Struthio camelus: one gene and its partner. Each later gene encodes a partner of the first gene's protein in a complex. Links are inferred from orthologs where the notes say so. Each region holds a gene or a part of one and is shown in the gene's direction. Other genes may lie near its edges.

Region 1 (8,041 bases):
AGTAAAACTATATTTAAGTCTATTCTAAAATGCAAATACAAGCTCCTATTTAATATGTCATAAAAAGAGCAACAAATTTAATGCTTGCTTTAGTTCTAATATGGTTTTGACAGCCTAAGAAATTGATGCATTCAAAGGCTTAAATTCTGTCATTGAAGCCTAATCTACCCTCAAAAGTTGCTGCTATGCCATTACAGTAGTAATAAAGATGACATTTATTCTGGTAAGAGTTTTTTTGTTTTGTTTTGTTTTGTTTTGTTTTGTTTTACAGACCATGTAGCTTATACAGGTTTGCTGAACAAAATGAACTATAGCAATAAAACAGAGTATTTTTGATTGTTCACAAGCACAGCTCTGCCAGCTAGAGGTGGGGTTTCTTTTTCCTCATATTATTGCAAAAAAATTACATTATCTGAAAGACCTTTCAGTGTAGCCTAGACCTTAAGAAGTGCATTTCTGTAATGTCTCAAAAGAGTCTTTTGAGTCAGGCCTAAATTTCTTCTCCTCATGTGATCTCAGTCAAGACTGCGTGATGCAGGTAACATGTGGAAAGGGGTGGCTCCTAGTGACAGCTGGCACTGTGGGGATGTGTTATGTGTTAATGGTAAAGGAAAGAAAGTCGAGAGTTTTACTGTCCCTTTTATTCCAACAGGCTTACTGAAACCAGCTCTTCTAAAAACAGCAATAGATAATACTGTAAAATTTTCCTTTTAAGTACCTTGAATCTCATATATATTCTAGCGATATTCAGATTGAAAAAATGAGAGGTGCAACTCAGGGAGAACAGAGCTTTAGGCCACAATTATACTCCCTTACTCTTAGCTGCTCTGCAGCTGATGGGAGCCCTCAGTTGCTCTACGTCATAGCTAGCCACTCTCCTACAGCTGACAATAGCCTACTCTCCAGCTAGAATAAACATATTATCATGACTGCAGTTTGGGTCAAAGACACATTTATTTAGGTATAACAGTCATACTGAAGAAACTCCTTTTGTAACTCATAAATGTCTAGACAGAGGAGTCTGTTCTTTCAGAGCCAAGAAGTGTACAGGAAGGTCATAGCAGGGGCAGGCTTCACAAGAGACAAGGGCAACAGAGATTGTAAGCAACAGACTATAGAGTTTGTTGTGAAGTAAAGCATACAGTTAATTTACCTGAGCAAATAAAATTAAGAAATGAATAGGGCTCTGCTTGTTTTTGTACTGAAAAAACTCCTATGAATCAACTATATTAACCTGAAGTAATCTAATAGGAATTAAATTGTTTCTAAAACGCATGCTATGTCTGAAAAAAATGTAAGCTGCTTTCAGCTTTATGACCTGTAGTGAAGGAGAGTGTATCTTGCCAGACAGAACGAGTCTGTACAGAGAACAGTAAATATGCTCAGAGCATCTCCACTGCAGGGATAGCTACCGTATAAATTCTGGCCATAGCTCAGCTACGGGGCCGCACAAGCCTCGGAGGTAACAGTGGGATGTTTGGATACTTACCCTAATCGGGAAGCTGCTGATTGACTGCTGTTAAAAATAGGCAGTTCATCTGAAAGACAAGAAAAACAGGATCTTTTTACTCTTTCAGCTATATAGAAGATCTGTGCTTAAAACAGGATGCCCTGAAAGGAGGCATATAATGGAGCAGCACTAAGACAGAGCAGGTATGACAGAAACAGAAGAGGAATTAAAATTAGAGGATAACATGTCTTCATGAATATCTGGTTTTGTCTCTACAATATGCATCAAGGAGTATGATGATGATACATAAAACTGACAAAACCAATTAATAAGTTAGTCTCAGATTAACAGAGTATGATCAATGAAAATGATAAGAGTTAAATCTGAAATAACTAATTATTTTGCAAATGTAAATAGAATTAGGAATTCCAATTTAAGTAAGAATGGGAATCAAATTATAGGCTCTTGAAGAAGGCGAGTAAAGACTGGAATATGCAGCCAGACTCCAACATAGAGTCTTCGTGCAAATTTTTGCCTGTGCATTTCTTAACTCCTTTGTACACAGATGCTGAAAAGAAATGCATGTTTCAACTCTGATACTGTAAAAATTGAAAAAGCCATGTTTTGGGCTCAGAGTCCCTTCATCAGGTAAGGAACTCCAAAAGCTTACCCGCTTCTTCCTGTTATATTAGCTTTCAAAGAAACTTTGCTTCCCTTGTATCCTTAGACCGCCTTATCTACAAAATTTCTAACACTATAACTCTATGAAAGTCTTACCATACGACTGCATTTTTCTTTCAATAATTTCTATATCAAATATGAAACAAGATTAATATATGTTTTTCTAACTGCTAGGTATCACATTCAAACTGAAATGTGAAATTCAAACAGTTTCAGTTATAATGCAGCTAACATTCTGCTATTGATGCCAAGAATAAAATCCAGCCCACACTCATTCTCCCACTACTTATGTGGGCACCATATATTTCTTCAGTCAGCTAATGACTGTGGATACACAGAAGAAGAAAGCAACATGTCAGTTTTACAGTTCTTCTTTCTAGTCACATTTTAAGGCAAAACAAATCTCTAAAGGTTTTCAGATTCATTTGATGATCTGTCTACAGAAGATATAGACTGTCCATTCAATATACCTCAAGCTTTAGCTACATTTAACCTTCCTAATGATTTCAAGTTGACTGACCCTCATTGTTTTTAATGCTCAATCTCTCAAAAGACAACCTGCAAAGAGTATCTTGAGAGCTAAAAATGAGCAAGCTTGTGTTGGGACATTGAGTTGGCATTTGAATTTTTAAATCATCTGTGACACAGAATTTCAGGACATTTCTATATATCTCCAGTTTCTTGACTGAAAAAACAGAACCGTCCAAGTCATTAACCATAGTAATACAATTACTATGATATGTTTCTAATTAGAATCTTTTGTGCTTACGAGTAACATATTGATCTTCTCTGTCTCCTGCTTAACAGACAGGTCTTTGGAGAATGTAGTCTACTACAGTCTTAGGTACATATTACCTATAAAAAAGGAAGAAAAATAATGAAATTCTAATCTTTGAGCCTTAAAGTGACAATGCTGTTCACAGTATTTTTCCTAGTTAACAGTGCCAGCTTAATTCATCCACTCTGAGTATTGCAATTCATACAATTTACATGATAGCATCTTCATGAAAACTTGTCACTTCTGTAAGGATTTGTTTATACCTGCATTCTGCAAAACGCATACATGCTGAAACAGTACTGGGGCTGCCAAAATGCCCCAGCCGGTATCAAAAGAGCTTAAACATCCCCTAGTCTTTGATAACCTTGGGAGGAGGCAACAGAACTTTAGGCACTGAAACTTTTGACACTCAACTGCCATTTCTCACCAGAAGCATCAGAACAACTTCTATAGCACAACTCGAAAAAAGTTTTACCTGTTTTAGCAGGTTTACCATGTTATTTTAGATGTTTTGTATGTGGGTTAAGCATAATTTGAAACTTTCTGTTCGAGTACGAATTCACCATGCTGCCTTTACCCAAAGTATTTCCCACTACTATTGATCAATGTGTCAGCTAAGTGCTATCCTTCACTTCAGTGATGTTTGTACTGTAGCGGATTTCTTTGATCTTATTGTAGTATGGTTTAGAGTGAATCCTGAATGCACTTGTCAAAAACCATGACCACCTATGGCTCTTAATACTGGACTTTAGGAGAAAGGCGCGAAACAGATTAATGCTGTAACGATAATTCAGTGTCGCACCTACGGCCACTACACACTTATGTTTTCAGCTATTTTTGTCACAGTAGCCAGGAGGCAGGCACCCACCTAGAAAACATTTAATATTTTTAGTTTGATTTAATCACCATCTGATTTCCAAACACACGTTAGTTGTTTTTCTCATGTGAAAGAAGAGGGAATGATGTTTATGTCGTCTTGCCAGTAGACTCACTAGGCTTTGCACGTGCGACTTCACAACCCAGTCACTTAGGGGAGGTGCGGAGGAGGGTGCCGCAGTGGGGAGCTGCTCTCCAGCCACCTCACACCCGGAGTCTTTTCTGAAGGTGGCTTGGCTGGTGGCACGGCTCCCGCTGCAGCGCTGGCCTGCTGGCCCATCCTGGCTGCCTCCACACCTCACCTCCTGCTCAGACCCTTGCTCCCCTCACGCTCATCCTCACCTCACCTCGCCTTCAGATTGCCTCATCGTCACCTCGCCTCACCTTCGGGCTACCTCAGCCTCACCTCACCTTCTTCCTCACCTCGCCTTCCTCCTCTCCTCAGCTCGCCTCTGTTCTCGTCGTCTCATCTCACCTTCGTCCTCACCTCACTCTCACCTTCCCTTCATCTCCACACTCACCTCAACTTCCTCCTCCCCTCACCTTAACCTGGCCTTCACCCCACCTCGCCTCGCCTCGCCTCGCCTCGCCTCGCCTCCGCGCCCGCCCCGCCGCTCACCTCGCCTCGCGCCGGGGCTCAGCGGGGCCCTCGCCGCCCCCGGGGCCGCCCCCGGTGCGGGGGCGCTCGCCTCCGCAGCCCGGCACAGCTGACCCAGGGGCGGCCGCGCCAGCGGCGGGCGCGGCGTGAAGACTGCGATAAAGCGGGGCTATTCTAGGCGCTAATGGGATGAGCGGCGCGGCGGGCTGCGGCATGGCGCCGCTCTGATGGCGGGCGGGAGGGCCGGGCCGGGCCGCGCGGCCGCAGGTAACGGGCGCGGCGGGCCCGCTCGTGCGGGGGGAGGGGCGGGCCGGGCCGGGCTGCGGGAGGCGGCGCAGGTGAGGGGCGACGGGCCGGGGCCGGGGCGAGGAGCGGGAGCGGGAGGCGGCGCGGGGGGAGGGCTGGGCGCGGGAGCGAGGCGGGAGGAGGAGGAGAGCGTCAGGCGGAGCAGGGATGGAGGGAGCGCGGCGGGGGGCGGAGGAGGAGAGCGTCAGCTGGGGGCAGAGATAGAGGGAGTGCGGCAGGAGGAGGAGGAGAGGAGCGTGAGCTGGGGGGGCAGAGGCAGAGGGAGCGCGGCAGGAGGAGGAGGAGGAGGAGGGGAAGAAGCGCGACGCAGGGACGGCAGATGCCTGGAAATAAAAATTTGATGATTGCATGCAGCGGCTGGAGAGACTCTGTCGGTGGCGGCGGCGGGGACGAGGCAGGGACAGGGGGGGCGACGGCAAAATGAAGTATCAGAAATACCTGACTGTCTTGCAGATGGCCATAGGGGTGACCGCCTCCAACCGGGGCAGTCTGATGCCCTTAAAGAGGAAGCTGTGGTGAGTAGGCACGGCAGGGGCCGGCGGCACTGCGGGCCGGGGCGGCGGGCGGCGGCGGCGGCCGCGGGGCTTTTTCCTGACAGGAATAACGGCTGCGCGGGCAGCGGCGCGCTGGAAATCCGGCCCGGCGCCGCGGCAGAGCGGGCCTCGGGCGCCCGGCCGCATCTCCCCGGCGGAAAGTTGGTGGCGGATCCAGCGATGGGGCTGGGGCGGCGGCGGCGGGGGCGAGACGCTGCCCGGGCGCCCGCCATCGCGGGCTGCAGCGCGGCCGGCGGCGCGGCGCTCCCGCCCGCCCGGCCCTCCTGGCGGCTGCCAGGCCCCTCGAGGAAGGCGCGTTGTCAGGCGCTTGCCGGAGCGCGGCGGCGGCCCCGGTGTTCCCGCTGAGCGCGGTGCCTCCCCCGCGCTGCCCGGCGGCTGCCGCCCGGCAGGTGCGCTTGAGGCGGCGCGCCACGGACAACACGCTTTCGCCGCCTTCCCGCTGGTTTTGTGCTTGCTGGTGGGGGGCGCTGAACTGGCGCCCGGCGGTGGAGGGCCGGCTGTGGCAGCCCCCCCGGCAGCGGCGGGACGCGCGTCCGCGGCAGCGCTGACAGCGGGGGGGAAATGTGGGAACTGGCCGCGTCTTCTGGAGGGGGAAGCAGCGAGAGCGTTTCTACACGGGGTGGTGGTGGTGGTGGTGGTGGTGGTGGTGGTCCTGCGGTTCCCTGTCGCTGCCCTTGTGCGTCCGCGTAGGGAGCGGGGTGTCAGCGAAGGGGCGAGAGCCCTGCTGCTTAGACGGGGTCACTCACGAGTGGAAGGATGTCCGTGGCAGCGACGGCAGCACATGCGGATCTTCCATGCGCTGCCCGATTGGGGTTTTTTTTCATGTTATCAGCCGGCGTAGACAATGTCAAGGAAATACAATTGAAGAAACAATGTGGAACTAATAAGCTGCCTGATATTCATTCCAAACCTTGATGTATTACTTGCAGAAAATAAAACGACTGGACATATCCTATTCATATTAACTGTAACATACAAAATCAAATCTAGTCCTAAACAAAAATATGCTGTCATGCAGATAACTTCTATTACCTTTAATCGAATCAAAGGATTTTAGACTGTACTCAGTGCTTTGATTTTGATTATGTAAGTTACATAAAGTGCTACTACCCTACCTCTCTTATTCTCCTAAAGTGACATTCCTGTCAGTGCGCAGCAGTGTGCGTGTTGATATATTATTTCTTTTAATATTTGAATTGTGTAACACAGTGCTAGCTCTTGTGCCATATCGTATTTCCTCTGTCTTCTTGGAAATGTCGTCTTTGCTGACAAATTAAAGTGAAACTATCGATATTTGCGCACTTTAAAAAGTAAGTCTGGAAGGACCTGATACAACTCCCACTTGATGCCTTCAGTTGGAATGTAATCAGCTCTGTATTGCCTAGTTTCATGGTGAGATTCTGTGCTTTTTGAGGGATATCAAAACACTGTAATGGATCCCAAATAATACATGCTATAAGCACTGAATGTCTTAACATTTGTAGCTTGTCTTCGTGTTATTACAATGCTGTGCTGTATACAGATTTAAATGACTTAAGTGTTAGGGATAAATAAGATAAATTTTTTTTGCAGTAGAGATCTATATGAATTACTTAAGCATTTGAGAGTGTGTCTATGGGATATTTTTATTAATAGGTGACATGATATTATGTAGTCACATTTTCTTAGGGAACTTGGATAGCATTATCTGCATAGGTAGAATTTATGCTTGTGGATGAAATAGTATTTTTTTCTGATGCATTTAGAGAAATGCGTAAGGATAATTTGTCATGGCTTTTTTTTATTTGCTTTTAGTCTGTATGTATACTGTTCTTAATGCACACATTAAAGAAAAGCAAATAATAGGGAGGTGAGTATATTTTTATGACTAAAATCAAGGCAACATAGTGTATATTGCCAGCCCGGAAAGCAAAGATTTGTTCCAATGCCATATCACTGGGAACCTCCAAAATACATAAAGAAAATACATAAATCAAGTCAGCTTGCAATCAGAGGATGCTAAGACTTTATTTTTATTTATTTAAAAAAAAAAAAGAATGATGGCCATTCAGATTCGTAAGTTGCTTGATGTGTTAGTACATATTGTAAGTGGAAGCAAAACATATAATTTAATAAAAAAGGTTTAAAATACTTTTTGTTGGTGGAGATAATCCACCTGAATCCTACTGAATGAAAATGAAAAAGGTAGCAGCGATGGTCTATTTCTTTATAGAGCATCTGCCACTCTAATTTCCTCTGACTTGCCCTCCAAAATGTGAGTCCTGTTCTCTGATTTACCAAAGCACAGCTACAAATCAAAACAAAAAAGATGGACCCTGATTGGTATAAACTAGCTGGGAATAAAACGAACAGAAAATTGGACAAAAAAGGAAGGAAGCTGTGCCCTGGGCTTGCAGCTGGAAGTGCTGGAGCCAGAAACTTAACTGTGTTTAATGTGGAGTTTGATCATTTTATGAAGAGGTTTACCTGGTGTAGTAGAGTTCTGCGCTCGGTGATCAGGGAAGTTGCTGGAGTCCCGATTTGCTGATTCAGACCCTGTTCGGTGTCTATGTTGTAATCTAATATGTAGAAACCAGAAATGAGATGAGTAGGATGTTTTTAATCTTACTGCAGAGTTTAACAAGTCAGTAAGCTGTCTTCAGGGCACGAGTCGCCTTCCAGATCAGGGCAGAGACAACATGAGAAGCTTGCACTATTTCTGTCTATTTTGTACCTGTTTTCTGCACAGACAATTTTCTTTTCTGAGGTTGTCCAATAACGTTTCTTAGCAGCACTGCCTTTATTTTCTCTACAATAGA
Region 2 (7,338 bases), on another chromosome or scaffold:
AAATTTGCCTGCCTCTCCTGGAGTCCAAGAATTGCTCTTACTACAGGACATCAGGGCTTTTCAATGGGGTCTCTGCCAGGGTGGCTGCACAGGTGCTGCCTGCTCCATAAGCACTTACCTCGGGCTTTGCAATTACTCCGCAGGGCTTGAGTGAGGACGTGAGCATCAGCAAGTTCTTCGACGACCCCATGTTGCTGGAGCTGGCCAAGCAAGATGTTGTTCTCAACTATCCCATGTGAACATGCTGCATCAGCTGCTGCATCGTGAGGGCTGACCTGAGTCCTGGATGACATCTGCCTGCTCTTCCCCATCCCTGCTTGCCCAGCCCGGGCTTCTGGATGCTCCTGGTAGGCAGGGAACTGCTCCTCAGATCGCTCCTCCATGGCTGAAGTCTCCCTGCCTGGGTATTCGCAGGCCCTGGGTAAGGAGCAACCCAGAGCAAGGATGTGTTTTGTATTACTAGTATTCAGCAATGGTGGCCTCCAGCGAGGAGGTTTTCCCTTTGGACATGCTCTCTTCAGGCACATGTGTTATTCCTTGTGTGGCCCCTGCTGCTGCAGAGCAGCCTGAATATAATGTTAAGATTACTAGGGACAGAGTGTAAACGTATGTCAAGCATCTGAGCTGGGGTCAGCCCCTGTACGTGCTTCTGATAACGCTGCCCCGCTCTCCTGGCTGCCAGTGGGGTATTTTGCCTTGAGCCGAGCATGTCTTATGGCAGCTTGAGGAAGGGGAAAATGCTGTTTTTTGTGGGGATGTGCTCCCACCAGCCTTCCCAGGAGAAATGGGAAGTCTGGATTTTACCTTTTTTGTACAAGTTTTTCTGAGCCCTTGTAAACGTTTAATACAAACTTCCAGCCAGGGCTCTGTGTGGTCACTCTGAGGGACCAGAGGGCTGGGAGAGGCTCTGCCTTCACTGGTGCTTAGAGTGGGCAGCCATTGCCATGATTCCCCTGCCTTTGCTGCTGCCCCCGATCCTGCTGCTCCTGGCACTGCCATACCACTCCACAGGTGCTCCGCATCCAGCAGCAATTCTGACCCAGCTCTCATGTCCTGCTTACAGTAGCTAATTGACCAGCCAGTCCAGACCATCCTGCCTGGTCCCGTACTCAGATTTTCTTCCTTTCTCACTGTTTTTGGGGCTGCAACTCTGTTTTCAGGGCATTCCATTAGCTGCCCACGGTCTGAAAGGCTTTTCGTGCTCTCTCTCTCCCCTATCTTAGCTCCCTGCTCTGCTCCCTGGCTAACTCAGCCCCTTGTCTGCTCCCCAACCTGTGCTGTGAAAGTAGGGGGAGGTTTAGTGCGTGGACTATGCTGCTAGGTGTAAAGAGGCTAATACGGAATGTCCCTGGCCCCTGCGGCCCATGAGGCTCTCCCTGATAGCTGTGTGCTGTAAATCCAGGCTCTGCTCTGGGACCTTGCTGTGCTCTCTGCCTCCTGGCGCTGCTCCCAAGGGGCAGCTGCCCTGCAGCACCTCTAAGGCTCTTCCCAAATTGACTTGAGCCTGTGGCCCTTGCCTGGGATCCACCATCCAGCATGTAGGCTGCTTGCGGGTGGTCTGAGCTGGGCACGTCCCGAGCATGGGCTCAGGCTGAGACAGCCAGGGTGCTCAGCCCCCTGCCGTGGGGCTGGAGGTCCACAGGGCTCCCAGCTGAACAGGAGCCAGTCTGGACACAACTGTGGTCTTCGTATCTCACGGCTGTTAAACTCCTGTAGGGCCCAGGGCAATCATCTCAAAGGGTATAGGGCCTTACAGAGGAGGATGGAGGCTCTCTGGGACCGAAGACCTCAGTGAGAGCAGCCGCAGAGTCTGTGCTAGGGGCAAAACTGGGATTTCCACATGCTGGGGTTTTTTTTTCAACCCAAGAAGCATCCTCTTTTGTGTCTTCTTGCCACCATCCCTCCACCACCATTTTGGTGCTATGGGAGCGCAGCTTGGCGCTGGTCAGCCGCTGGGAGAGCCTGGGGATTCAGGGCTGGCTTTGGCTGCAGTGCCCAGGAAGAGACAGGGGTCAGTCCTTGTACACAGCCCCAGCTTAAAGGCTGCCCCGAGTCAGTGCCGAGGGGCTGATGATGTTTCTCGGTGTGATGTACTGGATTCGGCTGTAGCAGCCTGTGTGCTGCCAGCACACGCATCCATCATGCTCCAGTCCCAGAGATGCCTCTAAGGGTTAGCCAAAGCGCAGCTTGCCGCAGAGCATCCCTGCTCGGAGATGGGCTCGGGATGGCTCATGGCAGTGTGCAGCACCGCAGCAGAGCTGTAGGTACCTGAAGGTGCAGCTGAGACCTTCCCCAACCCTCTCACAGCAGCTGGCAGCTGTAGGGCGATGTAGGGCACTGTGGCCTAGTGCCTCCCAGTTTCCAGCAGGCCTGGGCTCACAGAGGCATGGAGAAGCCCTGGAAAGGAAGCAGCCCCATGGAAAAGCATCCTGCCAGCCCACGGAAAGAGTATTGCATGGGATAATTCAGCAGGGTTTGGAAACCAGCAGGAAAGCATTTCCTGCCGCTGCCCGTGAACAAAAGCCTGGCCGGGCACACCTGGGAGGATGCGCTGCCCCATCGCATCCGTGCAGCAGGTGGGCTCGAACCGGTGGCCTGCGGGTGGGCTAGCGGCATAGGGGCGGCTGGGGGGGGGCTCCAGCCCTATCTCTTTGCTCAGCCTTTTCCTGTGGGGCAGCTCCAGGAGGTGCCCCAGCGCTGCCCGCGTCCGACCCAGCACCACGTCCTCGTCGCAGTCCGGCTGGGGAGGCTCAGCCCCCTCCTGCTGCCGATAGGAGCATCGGCACCTATTTACACCCCGGCTGGGCGCCAGGATGTGGCTCAGCTCCTTGGAGCAGCAGTCTCGGCGGCCGTGGGAAGGGAGCTGGTTCTCACGCAGGCCGTTCCCAGCGGCCGGCGCGGGCAAGCGCGGCTGGAAAACGCTGACCCACGGCACCCGGGGGCCTGAGCGGGGAGATAAGCGGCCATGCGAGCGCTCGCAGCCGTGACGCCGCAAGAGCCACCCTGCTGAGCCGGCTGGGAATTTTCCGTGGAAACGGCCAGTCCCTGGGAAATGCCCTGACCCCACGGCCTCGTTGGGCCGGGCTGGAATTCGCCTGGTGGCTGATCCTTGCTTGCAGGCCGCAGGCTCGCAGCAGCGACCTCCTTGGCGTTCGCTCCAGGCACGCAGGGATAAGCTCGAAGCCAGTGTTTTAGCAAAACCATTTCGCCCTTTGCCTCTTCTCGCCCCTGGCTGGAAAGATGCTGGGAAACCCTCCCTGCGCCCCAGCACGTGGAGTCAGCAGAGTGCTGGCAGCCGCAGGCCCTCCCCTGCCTTGGTTTCCAGGCTTGCCAGGGGAGCGGGATCTATCCTTGGCATGAGCTGGCCAGGGCTCAGCAGCGGGAGCCAGCAGCGAACGCCCCCATCCGTCCAGGCATGGCTCTCCAGCAGCCTGCTTTCGGGGGCGACCCCATGCTGGCAGGTGACCCCACGTTCTGGCCACAGGTCGCAGCCAGAGGTGCACGCAGGGTCGTACTTAGGGTTGTGCACAGGGTGTATATAGAGGTACGCACCCAGGCTGTACCTGGGGCACGTGGCCACGGCAGCACCCAAAGCACCCAGGAAGGGCAGCTGGGGACCAGCTGCCGATGGAGTGATGACAGAGGGCGCAGCTCGAGCCGGGGAGCCTGGGGATGCCCTGCCAGCGAGGCTGTCACAGAGAGGCGCAAAGCTAACAAGCGTGGCGGCGCCTGCACCACCAGGCCTGCCCGGCCTGCCCCGCTCCCGGTGCAAGGGGTGGACGCGTTCCCCTCAGGCACCGAGCTCCTTGCCAGCCCCGGCAGGTTTGCCACGGCTCCTGCAACGAGGCTCACTCGGCGGGGTGCACAGGGGTGCGCAGCACGCCCAGGCCCGTGCGGCTTGTGACGCTTGCAGGTGCATCGTGCGCAGCGCCAGGCCTGCAGGCCACGCGGCGCCGCTTTGCAGAAAACGTTTCCTCGGCGCGGGCGCGCGCCACGCGTGGGGGCGGCGCCCGGCGGCCCGCGCGCGCCGCGGCACGTGGCGGCCGGGTCCTCGCGCCGCGCGTACCGCCGCCGCCGGCGGGGCCGCCTGCGCGGGGCTCCCGCGCGCTGCGCCGGGTTGGGGGGGGGGGGGGCTGCGCGCATGCGCCCCGCGCCCCCTCCCCGGTTGGGGGCAGCGGTCGGCGAGCCCGCCGCGGCGGCGCGCGTGGGCAGCCGAGGGGAGGCTGCGGGGCTCCGCCGGGATCATGCGCTGGAGCCGCGGGGGGCAGCGGCGGCGGCGTGAGTGAGGAGGGCGGGAGTCCGCGGACCGAGACCGGAGCCGGGACCGACCCTCCCAGCTGCTCTGAGGGGGCACCGCGAGGGAAACTTCCCGCGCCAGCCCGGGGCTGAGGGGAGGCGGCGGCCGAACGGCCGTTGGGCTGAGGGGGCGGGGGGCTGAGGGGACGGAGCGGCCGTTGGGCTGAGGGGGCGGGGGGCTGAGGGGACGGAGCGGCCGCTGAGCCGGGGCGAGGCGGGGGCTGAGGGGACGGAGCGGCCGCTGAGCCGGGGGGAGGCTGAGGGAGCTGGGGCGAGGCGCGGGCTGAGGGGACGGAGCGGCCGCTGGGCCGGGGGGAGGCTGAGGGAGCTGGGGCGAGGCGCGGGCTGAGGGGACGGAGCGGCCGCTGGGCCGGGGGGAGGCTGAGGAGACCGAGCGGCCGCTGGGGCGAGGCGGGGGCTGAGGGAGCTGCCGCGGGGCCGCGCGCCCTCCGCCGCCCCGGAGCCGGCAGGCCCCGCGCTGGCTGCCGGTCGTGCCTATGTCAAGCGTCTGCCGTGGGCTGGCGGCTGGGGACGGACCCTGGGGGGGAAACGCGCTGAGCCTGAGCCGTGGGGCAGCCGTGCCCGCGCGTCCCCGCGGCCGGAGCCGTCGTCTTTGTCCTTCCCAACTTGCCCGGCGGGGCGCAGCCCGCCGTGCGGCCGGCGCCGCGTACGAGGGAGCTGGGCGGCCGCGATGGGCTCTCGCCGTCGCCGGAGACTGGTTTGGGGCGCAGTTGGGTCTCGGGTTGGTGGCGCTTGCTTTTAGTCATGGCTATTTCTAGTGTGTTCTTCCGAAATGAAGAAATAAAATACCTATTTACAGCTTTTTGCTATTAGAGAGAAATATCCTGGGTGCTGGTAGTTAAGACTCTTCAGCGTTTTTACCAATCCAATACTAAAATTTCCTGCTTTGTATGATGCAAGTGTTAGTTCCATGTAACAGGTATTTTTTTCTTTAAGAGACACAGCCTCATATCTGAGCATCTATGAGTAAAAGCTGTGTAGTTATCTTTTAGAAAGGCTGCAGTGCCATTTCGCTCCCTCAGTCTGGCAGGATGGTGCTTGGCAGATCCCAGAGCTTGATTTGATCTGTGAGCATTCAGTCCACAGTTAAAGATTTTAAAGGTTAGAAATCAGTAGCTCGTTATGAGCTCTGTGTATTTACTTTGTGCAAGTAAATGCTTATACTACTGTTGATATTCTAAGTTAACCCCATGTCAACCGAACTTCAGCTGCAGCAGTGCAATTTGACACTGCTGTGTGGTCAGTCTGAAGACACAGAGTACTAGGAGAAACATTCTGCCCCTCTGTCAGCTCATGGTAATTTTGTTATGAAAGTTTTGGCTTCTGTTAGGCCTCACTTTGGTGAGGGGAAAACAAAAACCATGCATTTGACAATTGATTATTCTTGTTCTCTGTATTTCTATGTTTTCTGCGCACTGTAAGTAAAGGAGAACTAGCAGAAAAAATTCTCTTCCTTTGGGTCAGAAATCTATTTCACACTGATGTTCAGTGAATCAGCTGTGTGAATCAGTTACTGAAATCCACCTTTCCTTTATTCAGATTATTTAGAAGAGGAAAGCCATTGTTTTCTGTCAAGACTTGTGTTTAAGGAAATGGAAGATGCTATTCTCCTTATCTTTTATTCTTTCCCAGAATATGTTAAAGTTACGCTTGTGTTTTCCTGGGGGAACAAATAAGCTCCGATCTCCTATACGAAGCCAGATATGTAAGAATTTTTTTTAAGAAAATTACAGATTTACAAGTAATTTGAGCATTATTATGCCATTCCTTATTCCTTCCATGTGACTACAAACAGCTGAAAGTTCTGCATTTGCAGAAATCCTAAAATTAACTTCAGCATTTCCGCAGCTCTGAATAAGAAAGAGGGGACAATATGTGTTTCTCCTCGTATGTTCTCATAACTGAAACAGATCTCAGGGGGTTGACAGTGGGTGGGGTGTACTATTACATGTTTTCTGTGTCTGACGAATGCGCAGGCTGCATAGCATCAGTTGTTCTCCACTCACTGGTCAGTGGTAAAAGCTCATAACTAGGAGATGATCTTGGTGTTTGAAGCCAGGGAAGAGTACTTTGAATGCAGTGACTTACAGCATGTAAGTGCAGATAACCTGAAACACAAGATTTGGGAGCCGGCTCTGATCCTTTTATGGCCAGAGGTTTTCTACCATGTCTGTAGTTGAGAAGAAGGCAAGGTAAGGAAATTACAGGGCTCAGAGCAAAAGTTCAGGTGCATTGAAGCTGGTTGATTGCGCGTTGAGGCTGGGCACAATGGCCATGTGCTGTGGCTGAGTTTTATACTGAGTTTGGAGATCTGTCCTGGAAATATTTTTACGGTTCCTTGTAAGAATGATCCTTTTGCAGTGTCTTTCTCTTTTGAACAACTGTACCTTGACTGTAAGCATTTTCTGAATTGAAATGGCAAAGGATTGGGCAAAACAGAAGGATGAACATATTATAATAAGTTTTGGCAGATATGTTTGAAGGCTTGTGTTGATTAAAATGAAACTTATTTTACAAGAGCATCTCACTTTTTTCAACCATATTGAAAATGTGTTCAGTTACTATTTGTTACAGATTCTTCTGTTTATCACCCAGCTTCTCTTATCCTTGCAGTGGCTTTTTAAAACCGGCTTTGTCATGTTTCAAATCAGCTTAAATTTTGAAAAGTTATTAAAAAAAATTAATGACTGGCTGTACTCTTGTTAAAGTGACTACCTCTAATACTTTTTTAGTATTATTTATTATATTATTTATTATTATTTATTATATATTAAAGGTATAGAGTATAGTAAAAGTATAGTGAAAGTATAGAGTAAAATTGCAAGTTCTATCATATTATCACTGATTCAGTAAAGCTTGAATTATTGGTAATAGAAAACCTTTTGATTTAAATAAACTGACAATAAATATATGTTTTTTAAATTGGTGCAGCAACGTAAAAGTTTTTTGTTGTTAAAAAAGCTACTTTAAAGGTCTGAATGCATGATTATAAATGACGATTATCGCAAAGCATCTGTTTTC

Evidence for each region.
Region 2: the proteins of TJP1 (region 1) and GJC1 are in contact, whole or in part, in a crystal structure (PDB 3SHW), measured with the Homo sapiens proteins. The link is inferred for Struthio camelus from reciprocal best matches to the Homo sapiens genes TJP1 and GJC1. Residues at the interface, in NP_003248.3 of Homo sapiens: Lys429, Ser432, Val433, Gly434, Leu435, Arg436, Leu437, Gly449, Val450, Leu451, Val484, Leu487, Leu488, Leu549, Asn551, Gly552, Lys553; in NP_001073852.1 of Homo sapiens: Lys391, Thr392, Ser393, Val394, Trp395, Ile396.

Annotation. Positions count from the first base shown.
Region 1 is NC_090953.1:18,419,960-18,428,000, forward strand, and holds the start of TJP1 (tight junction protein ZO-1), read left to right. Parts: upstream 1-5,031; 5' UTR 5,032-5,037; coding exon 5,038-5,204; intron 5,205-8,041. UniProt on the Homo sapiens protein: TJP1, TJP2, and TJP3 are closely related scaffolding proteins that link tight junction (TJ) transmembrane proteins such as claudins, junctional adhesion molecules, and occludin to the actin cytoskeleton.
Region 2 is NC_090966.1:752,756-760,093, forward strand, and holds the start of GJC1 (gap junction gamma-1 protein), read left to right. Parts: upstream 1-4,170; 5' UTR 4,171-4,278; intron 4,279-4,845; exon of another isoform or gene 4,846-6,509; intron 6,510-7,338. Other genes in the region: EFTUD2 (116 kDa U5 small nuclear ribonucleoprotein component), read left to right, coding at 144-239. UniProt on the Homo sapiens protein: One gap junction consists of a cluster of closely packed pairs of transmembrane channels, the connexons, through which materials of low MW diffuse from one cell to a neighboring cell.